2 linked regions of the Arabidopsis thaliana genome follow. The protein of the gene in region 2 interacts with the protein of the main gene of each other region in a biochemical or structural test. Each region holds a gene or a part of one and is shown on either strand. Other genes may lie near its edges.

Evidence for each region.
Region 1: the proteins of MGP (region 2) and SCL3 form a complex in vitro, tested with the Arabidopsis thaliana proteins (one study listed by BioGRID).

The regions. Positions count from the first base shown.
Region 1 is NC_003070.9:18,676,999-18,682,112, forward strand, and holds SCL3 (scarecrow-like 3), read right to left. Parts: upstream 3,303-5,114; 5' UTR 3,006-3,302; intron 2,765-3,005; 5' UTR 2,628-2,764; coding exon 1,179-2,627; 3' UTR 696-1,178; downstream 1-695. Other genes in the region: AT1G50410 (SNF2 domain-containing protein / helicase domain-containing protein / zinc finger protein-like protein), read left to right, coding at 1-179, 263-367. UniProt on the Arabidopsis thaliana protein: Probable transcription factor involved in plant development.
Region 2 is NC_003070.9:966,929-972,374, forward strand, and holds MGP (C2H2 and C2HC zinc fingers superfamily protein), read right to left. Parts: upstream 3,407-5,446; 5' UTR 3,131-3,406; coding exon 2,980-3,130; intron 2,784-2,979; coding exon 2,387-2,783; intron 1,641-2,386; coding exon 668-1,640; 3' UTR 542-667; downstream 1-541. UniProt on the Arabidopsis thaliana protein: Transcription factor that regulates tissue boundaries and asymmetric cell division. Contributes to the sequestration of 'SHORT-ROOT' to the nucleus. Interacts with the SCR and MGP promoters.

The sequences.
Region 1 (5,114 bases), about 18 Mb from region 2:
GAAATCTTGGGCTGAATATGATTGCTGCATGTCATGTCATTCTTCTTGATCTATGGTGGAATCCAACTACTGAAGATCAGGCTATTGATCGAGCACATCGTATTGGACAAACTCGACCTGTTACTGTAACTCGTATTACGATAAAAAATACTGTGGAGGATAGAATTTTGGCTCTCCAGGTAAAGATCCCTTATAGCTGATACTTGTTTCCCCCCTCAGTTTCTCTCATTTGTGGTTGTGTGATTTTTGGTTATTATTATAGGAAGAGAAAAGAAAAATGGTTGCGTCTGCCTTTGGTGAAGATCATGGTGGAAGCTCTGCAACTCGATTAACAGTTGATGATCTCAAATATCTATTCATGGTGTAGCTGTTCTTAAATCTTGGGTTGGCGAAGTTTCGCTTCTTTCAGAATTTTGATCATGAGCTGCATTCTTGTGTTCTTCAGGTTCACAGATTTGAAATGAGGAAATATGTAAATAACTTAGCTGTTGTCTCATAGTATATATAACATCAGAGTATATACTTTTTCTGAATCAGTTCATCCGAGATCTTCTTTCCTTTTGGGATCACATTACTCTTTCAATCTTATTATCAAGGTGTTTTGATCATGCAACACTTTTGCATGAGAAACACTCTGTGAATTTGCTAAGACAAGATAAAGACTAGATTGCTTAAACAAAATTCAAATATAAATGAAGCAAGAAGATTAGGTTAAACTAGATTCAATGTAAATGAAGCACGTGAACTTTAGGTTACAAAGTATTTGGACAGCAGATAAGTCGTATACTCTTTGGATAGTGAACATGTCCTTTAGTAACCTAAATATATATACCGAGTTTAAGTTATTTACAATACACAAATGACAAGATCACCTGCTTAAAGATAGGCAAAGTTTGGCTGGTCTCTGAAAGAATTTGGAGTTCTGAACTTGAACCGATCATCAAATTAGTTATCTTCAGCTCAAATTGGATTTGGTTTGGTATTACACCCACACCAGACCAAATTGAACCAACACACAAAGGCTTTACATGCAGAGGCAGTAGAAGCATTTAAGCCAAAATAGCATAAAGAGACAGAAAGTCACCATCACAAAACAACTAAGATTGTGTCCCCATGTATACAAAAAAGAAAGGGACTCTGCTCATAACCAAAATAGAAGACAAACTGTAATATATCATTCACTTCCTGCATCTCCAAGCTGATACCGAGTATAGAGGTCGATCTTGCCAGCAAATTACTGCGCACCCGCTCTCTTCCTTGATTCTATACCCATCAAAACCGCACCCTTGAAGCAATCTCCTAGCCTGCAACATCGCATAATAGCTAAGAGGAACATTCCCAAAACCAGCCAAATCGATCCTCTGGCTCCATTTCTCAAGCTTCTCGTGTCTTTCTCTTCTCTCAAATCCCTCGCAGGATATGATGTTCTTGATCTCCTCCCCGAAGAGCATCTTCTCCACTTTGATCCTATCTTGAGACGTTCTTGGAACTTTTGTTTCCAAGCAATCAAACAATGCTGCGTAGGTGTAAAGTGATTCTAATAGCCTCTCCATTAGTGTGGAGCCGTTGTGGTCTGAGTCTTGCTCAGTGACCACCATGACCTTTGGAGACAAACCCCAAATAGCATTGAGGAAGCTATCAGTCCTTCCTGAACTTGGTAAAGGCAAAGATGAGGCCGAGTCACCGCTAGGGCTATACCCATTGTTGTTACTCATATCATTCTCACGTGCCTCAGCTGCAGAGCCATGGCTCATCATTAGAACTCTCTGCAAGTCAACTCCACTAGGGTTGTTCTGAAACCGTAAAGCGCAGTTCTTTCTCATGAGATCATCATCAGAGGCCAAGAAGGTATGCAATTGAAGAACCGAGCTAACGGCTAAGGCCTCTCCTGTTTTAACCCGCAACTGTTCTACATTTAAACAGTCTAACCTACTCACAACGGGATTAAACTGAAACGGGATATCGAGTTTCTCTGCTTCCTCAATGAGTCTATGAGCCATTTGTTCAAGCACTTCCTTCTGGTGATGAACACCAGTGATTCTCAAATGAGGTGGACCTTCAGGCCTAGAGTTAAAAGCTTGAAGCAAAGCAAGCCATTGAGCTGGCTCAGAAGCATCGAGATCAATCACATGAACCATCTTCTCTCCTTCCATAGCCTCGAGTATAGCTCGATTAGTGAGCAAGTAAGAGACTTTGAGTATCGGGAACATCTCAAAGAAGAGTCTTCTAACATGAATCTCCTCAGAGACATTGTTAGTTCTTGTCTGAGTTGCGTTAAGAGCCTTGTAAAGACCAGGCCAGGACTTAAGGATTCTGTTAGCAAGCGCTTCGGTGAAGTAAGCAGCGATTCGCTGCATCGTGTCGCCGTCAGGAGAAGCGAGGTGAGAGAGCTGCTCGAGCGCTGCGTTAGCGTTTTGGAGGCTACCTGAAGCCACGTGGTTGGCACAAGTTAGCAAGAGGTGGATTAAGTAGAGACCACGCTCCTCTGGTTTGAGATCTTTGAGACAATGAAACGGAGATGAAGAAGCGAGGAGAGTCGGTCTGTTGAGTGACATAGTTGAGAAGACTTGAAGTGGTGATGAAGCTACAGAAGATGTTCCATTATCTTCTTGAAACATAGCCACCATTGAAGGCCAAAAGCTTGATTTTGATTTACTCAGAACCAAAAGTAACCTTTTTTGTAAAGAAAGATTTAAACTTTGAGAGACTCGTAACGAGAAGAACCAAACCCACGATTCGGAATTTCTTGAAAGATGCAGAGAATCTGCAGTTTAACAAAAAAGGGGGTTAAAGAACAGAGGAACTAGGGTTTGCAGAGAAAGTACTGAATTTTAAAAACCTTTGAATCTAGTTAAACTATTTGAAATAGATATAGACGAAGAAACACAAACAGAGAGCTGAATTAAAACTTTCCTAATTTGATAAACTAAGAAAGAAACAAAACAAAATAATAGCAAATGATCAAAGAAGATAACAAACAACAATAACCAAAGAAAAAAACTTACATGGATTTAGAGAAAATGTCTAAAGCTTTTTTTTTGGGAGTGAGAGGGTTCTCTCAATCTTTATCTCTCTATCCACGTCTCTGGTGGTTATCTTGTGAGTAATAGCGTGTGTGTGAAATGTTGTTTGTGTTTTGGGAAAAAACTTTAAGAAAGAAAACACTAAAACAGAGGCATTGTTCCTTTTGGCTCTACGTACCAGACAATGCGTGATAGTCGGTTTTGTCTTCTTCCTTTTTGTTTTTTTCGTTTCCTCTTTCTTCTTTCCTTGGTTTTAAGGAATTATTAAACAAAAGGTTGTCAAATTTTCCAATCCCATCCATCTATCTTATACTATTATGTGTACTAGTACTACATGAATGAATATCATATAAGAATACGTATTTTGATTTTGAGTGCTCTTAAAGTGGTGTAACATTAATAAATAAAACTGAATGAGAGTGTATTAGCTTATGTTGCATTTATAAATAAAACTGAATAAGAATACATCCATCAATCTTATACTATTATGTGTATTAGCTAATGTTGCATTTTCATTTTCTTTTAAATTTGTAAGACTTGTAGGAATTAGTCTTATTGATTATTTTTATAGTTATTATTTTATATAAAGTCAAGATAAGAGAAGTTTCACCTAGAATTTTCTTGATTTAGAGGAACTAAGAAGAAAAAGCAACACTTAATTATGAAGGAAGAAGAAGTTCAATGAACCCATTTGGCATTATACAAATTGGAATTATCTTATAATAGATACATACACGAATACAACATATATGTCTGTATTCGAGATTGGAACCTCCACTTTTATGGGTTTTTGTCATGGCATGAGGTGGATTTGGAATCATGACTATATATTTCTACATCAAAAAAATTGTTAAAGAGAAAAAAAGAAAGCTGTTTTGGTAAAATATTGATTCTGAGAAGAAGGAAACGTCCAAACACGCCCTAACAAAGACAAAACAAAACCCAAAAACCATCTCTTTTGTTTTTGTTGTTTTGTTAGAAAAACAAATAACAATAAAAGAGATGAGGCTGAGGCTTGGGTGTGGGATTTGTCTGTCTTCTTTAAATGTTCATTGTCTTTTCATTACTTTTCTCTTTGTCTTTTTCTTCTTTTTAATGCCTACATTTTTGTCTTCTTCTCTTCTTTCTCTCTCTCTTTGTTTTTTACTGTGTGAGAGAGAACATTATTCAGTTTTTAAACTAAAAAGACCATTGACCAGAGAGATTCTACAGAAAAAGAATGATGCTATTTTACTACTATTGTACCTCAACTTTTTTTTCATCTTATCAATAGTAAAATAGTACTATAAAGTGAGAAAAATATGCATCCATAACAACACAGTAAAATTGTTTTAGTATGAAATTTGTTTAGCTTTGACTACAAATTAGAGAATGGTAAGTTTTTGTTATTAAAAACTTTGTAGTTAGATCTCATGATATCCAAACATAGAATCACAATTTTGCTGAAGGAGCTTGGTACGAAGACCGCCTCAGAAGTAAATGATGGTTCTGTTTTAGCAACTTTGGATGCTGCTACTCGGGTTGAGCTTCTGAGCTCCCCTTCTTATGTCTTTTTGTTTGAGCATTTGTCCTCGTAGCTTTTTGTGTATACTCTCCACGTGGAGGCAACTCTCGTTTAAAGTTGAATGAAATGTTAGTTTGACCAAAGAAAATAAAAAATAAAGAATCACAATTTTGTGAAAACTGTGTAATAGTAGTTTTGTGGATCCTCCAGAACACCAATTAAGTCTAAAAGTGAAGTCAACTTGATAATGTCGGTGAGTTCTTTGTGATTGAAAAACTGAAAGAACACTATCAATTCTTTGTGATTATTCATGTATTTTATAGGGTTCAAGTTCAATTAGTGCCTGTACTTATAAAAGACTTCATTTGATGTAGTTAAAATATTAGATGGATGAATCAACTTATTTGATGCATTAAGAAGCAGTATAATCAAAATATCAAATAATAAAATTAGAAAACGGCAGGCTAACTTTGATAATCTAGGGAAATACATAAGTGTAGCTAGAGATTTGAAAACCTATAGCATACAAATCAGCAAAAGAATGTCTATCGCATCAATTTGCATTTTTGTTTTGGCACGGTCTTTTG
Region 2 (5,446 bases):
GAGAATTATTATTAGCTATTCTTTAAAGAAAATCTTTTCTCTTTTATTTTTCTATCTCTCTTCATTTTTCATTTCTTAATGTTTTCCTCCACTATGAATTGCCCTGCAAGTTAAGTTTAGAATTATTGAGCTCAAAAGCCTTCATGTTTTTCTTGTGTGCCCACCACTTCTCGATCCACACTTTTTCTATGGCATATATACAAAATACATACAATTGATTAAGTACTTATTTATTTTTAAAAAAGCATATCAAACACCTTTCTACACATAGTGAATATGAATGAATCTTAACTTTTCTTCAACGAAAAAAAAAAAAAAATTCTTCAACGAAAATGCTCATATAATAATACCAATATGTGAATCACACTACATTATACTTGTGTCTAGTGTAGTCTATAAATTGAAAAAATAAAATAAGAAGAGTACTACAAGTATAGACTAGTTGACCTAAATTTAGCAAAAATCTGATGGAAGAGTAAATTTTGAGACGTAGGTGATCATTTTGAATTTGAGAAGATACGATAAATCTAATAACCACAATCGATCGTAAAATTAATTTATGATTTTGGTCTGGTGAAATAAATCATTTTTAAAATTAATTAAAGAAATCAGCTTTGATAATTAAGTTCACTCATAAATAAGGTAGAAAAATCCATTAAAGAGTGTTTCAAATCCATCCATTGATAGAGGAAGAATGGCATATTGTTTGTACACCAACCCCAAGAAAATCCCGAGTTTGCCCTCCTCCTCCCGCATTCCCAATATCAACTCTTCTACGCTTCCAAGGGTAATTCTGTAATTCACCCATCCCCGAAACGACCGTAACGCCGTTTCTAGGGTTCCCGATCTCGTGAAGACCGTTATTATTATTACTCATTAACTCGACACTGTTCGATCCAAACGAAGCAAAGAACCTGTCGCTGCCACCATCTTCTACAATCTGATTACTCTTCGATGCAAAACTCTGAAGATACGCTGATTGGTCGGTAGTAATCGTCGTCGTTGGTGACGTAGAAGAAGTCGCTCCCATCTGAGCAGCTTTTTGGAGTAACGCAGTCGCCGACATATTTGCAACAGCCACAGAAGCAGCGTTTGCGTCTTGGGTAATTTGGTCAACGCTGCTAAAAAGAGAAGGCACGGAAAGAGAAGTTGCCCCGTTAGCGTTTTCCTTACTCTGGACGATATTAATATTATTGTCATGAGTAATGAGTGAATCGCTCGTCGTTATTAACTCGCCGTGATTATTCGCGTTTCCGAAAACCCAATTGTAATCCTCTTGCGGTGAATGCGGCTGCGGCGCCATACGGTCCTCGATGGTCACTTGCTGATGATGATTAATATTTCCTCCCGACCATAAAGAGAGCGTAGACGCTGGTTTCATGACGTCTTGATGATCGAAGTTGTTGGTTGTGATTGGGAATTGGTGGTGGTGATGATGTTGCGGTTGCGGTGGTCCGAACGGAAACGACGGTGGTTGTGGTAGTGATGGTGATGGGATAAGTGTCCCCATGAGATAATGATAGTTTAGATTACTACCAGCGGTTGCGGCAAAGCTTTTGAGATGCGAGGCTGCGTTTAGCCTAGCGGTTTCTTCTGCTAAAGCGTCACAGAACGCTCTATGTGTAATGAAGCTGTCTCTCCTGTTGACCAAATTATACACACCAATAAGATCAATATCGTCTATACACACTCGCTAATTTATGCTTGTGTTTAATATGTATGTATATAGTAATATAGATAGCAATTAAGGAAAAAAAGATAAATAAAGTTGTATATCTTACTTTAACCAAAATATGTCAATCCAAGAAACTGTCTTATTCAAGAAATCAAGCAGCACGTATGCTCAGAGAATGACCAATATGGCAATATCTATACAAAAGTAACTCCAAATTATTTTGTTTTAGACCCTACATGAGCTACTACTTCCAACAAAAAACATGTATCTTATTTACTTACAAATTGTTTCACAAAAAAAAAAAAAAAAATCTTATTTACTTACAAACAACGTGGTAAAACGAAATTTGTTTGTGTGGTCCAGTGGTACAGTAGTGTTAGTTGAGGTAACAGATTCGTTTTTTTTTTGTTTTTCATCATAGTATTCACCCGGTAAAATATAAGCTCTAGCTAGGTTTAGTATGAGTTTTAAGATATGTATATAAGTATATATATATTCTTCCTATATTCTAATATATTCAAACATGATTAACTTTACTGGTTAAGAAGTTAAAATCATATTTGAATCTATATATAATGCAATTAAACATGATATGCGCTTACAGCTAGGTGATCAAAATATTTGTTACGCCACTAAAAATATATGATACCGTGATGAGGAAATGTAAAGATCATCTATTAGTACGTACGTGTGTAGATATACACTAAGTACCTGGAGAAAATTGTACCACAGTCGCATCTATATTCTCTAGTCCCACAAGTCTTGGAATGAGCCTTCCAGTCAGATTGGACTGCATATCTCTTGGCGCATTTCTCACACTTCCACTTTTTCTCGCCATGTTTCCGACAAAAATGTTTCTTAATGCCGGTAAGATCACCAAGTGCCCTCGTCGGATGGTGGTGGACGCAACTCTTTTCTGGACATACATACACTCGTTTCCTTACTTCTTTGCTCGTCCTCTGCTTTAGCTTCCATGGGAGGTTGTGTCCTCGACGGTGAAGCTGTAGATTCTGGTCTCTTTGAAACCCTTTTCCACATATCTCGCAGAGGAAACGATTTGTGGCCATAAGTGTCTTTGGAGATAGAGCTATGACCTCAGCTTCTGGATCTATAGAGAACGAAATATAACAATCAAATTCTGGATACATATTTGATCATGTGAAAGATCTAAACAGTAGAAAGCATGCATGTTTGTAGATCAAGATCGAAAAAAAAAAGAACATGACTTTTCAGCAAACAGAAAAAAAAATGTTGATTAGGGTTGAATTATTTTGTGATCTCTATTAAACTTAATTAATTGTTACCAGGATTTCCAGGGAGGTTTCTCTTCTTCTTGACAAGAGGAGGATTGAGGGATTCATGTTGATCATGATGATGATGATCAACATGATCAGTTGTTGATGAGCTTTGGACATATCCTCCACTACTTGAAATTGTCTGATCTTCAGTTGTCATGTCTTCTTCTTGGACAAAAGTTTTGTTGGAAGAGATTGAAAAGGTAATTAATTAAGTTTTAAATAAGAGATGGAGGATGAGCAAAGGTAATGAAGAGAAAATAAATAGAAATACTTAGAATCTGATGTAGTTATGAATGAGAGGCAAACACAAAAGATAAGTTATATTGGGTGATCACTTTATATATACACCCTACACACTTAAGCCCCATATGTGTACTAAAAAATAATATTCCTCTTTCTTTCAAACAAAAAAATATAAGCACCTTGATCTGTAAGAACTGTCGCAGCTATTGTCATAAATTATTAAACTTTCATATATTTTTCCCATTTTATTTATATTTCGCAGTTAAAAGTTAATGGCGGTGGAAATTAACTATATTTATCTGGAAATATTTGATTATTTGGTTTTTCAGTGGCAGTGCGTCATGACACACACAAAAGTTTCTATGTCTGCCTTTTTCTATTTGGAATGATGATCTCATTATTTCTTTTCTCCGTTCTTTTTTTCATCATCCTCAGGTAAAATTAACTTCTTTAATTGTTCTTCTCCTTATAGTTTCTCTTAATGTTATTTTTAGTAGAAAGTCGTATATAAAGCACAGTCATGGTGTATATAATTTGAGATTTTAATTTGACCGTAAATTGAGGCGGTCAAAGAAGTAAACAGATCCAACGGCGCAGGTCACATCTCTCGTTTATTGTTGAGAACAAAGCCTGCAATGCACGTGTACCCATGCACGTGCTCGTGAGGTAAAATCCAACAACATACGACAACGAAATTAAAAACCTAAATATGCAAAAGAGAATAATCGTCCGGTCGACAGTGAAAACGAAAACCATGCGAACTCTTCCCGTCAAGTACCCCACTTCAAATTTTCGTTTTGATATTCGATTTTCCTTCAAAAAATTGTTAATTTTCCTTTGACAAAAACAAAAAAATTGCTAATTTCGATATTAATAATTGTGAAAAAATTCATGTTTGTGGAATTGAGTATAAGAGAAGTTAGTAGATACGTACGAGTATCTTGTTCATGCTTTTTCTTACAAAGATCTTTTTGCAATGCTCCCTATTCGTCTTTTTCTTTAGCAAACTTTTTCTCGCCCTACAAATGAAAGTATTTTCTAACGTATTTTTTTAAAAAAAAATAGAATCTTAACTTATTTTTAAAAAAGATCAGAACTCGAAATCCCATTAAAAAAAAAAAGATTGAACCAAAAAAGTAATTCTAACCTACTATATATGTGCAAGCTAGTAAATTTTCTCTCGGAGATCATAACTATTATAAACTCATACCAAAATTTTAATTGAAAATTTATTTTGTAGTTTATTATCCTAAGACTGAGCATATGTATCGGAGTTGTATAAACTAGTCTATTATTATTATCGTGTTATAATTTGGATAAAATCCTATATATAAAATAATATTGTAGATGAAAAAAAACGGTAAACAATTCGACCATATCAAAATCTCGATCATATCGATTTTCAAAGAAAAGTAAACTAAATGTGCTTTTTTATTTACCCCTAGCTGAAAGTAAGATAATTATGGTTAGTTAATTAATCGAAAGTACGAAGAGACAGAGAACTGACAAAATGCAGGTGAATTTTTGGAAGGAAGAGAAGTCGTCAGCTTGTGGGCTGACTTAATTACCAATTCTTTAGGTAATTTACACTTTAATCATAATGTAATCATGTTTTAAGATTCCTATAAAATAATAACATTAGTTTAGTGTTTTAGTTTTGGATTTTTCTTCTTGAACTTTGGCGGCACAAGAATATTCCCTTATTTTTCGAGACGTTGTTATAGTATATTATTGTTCCCTTTATATAATCAAGATTTATATACAGATGGGCATTTACACAAATGGGAAACTGGGATTTTTTTTTGTTACTGTAAAGTATAAAGAGATGCGTTCATATGAGTGTATCCAAAAACAAAAATATGTCAATTTTTTTGTTATGTAGAGCTCCTACGTACAAATGAATTTACACGATAATTATCTATTTGAATTTGGTCTATCCCGCTCATATTTAAATAAAGTTCGAATAGTAAATCCTATGTTTCAAGTTTCTAAAGAAATGCTGATTTGAATCTGTACAATATAATTGTAAATTGAGTATAGTTCAAAAAAAATTTGTGAACAATGATGATAGTGGAGATATAACGCATCAACACAAATAAAAAAGTTCAAATTTAGTCAAGAATAATTCTTTGTCTACATTTACATATGTTTCCATGGTCGTCGTTTATATATTTAAACATAGTTCATGAGTTTAAATACATATGAATTATTTTTAATTTAGCTGGCTATA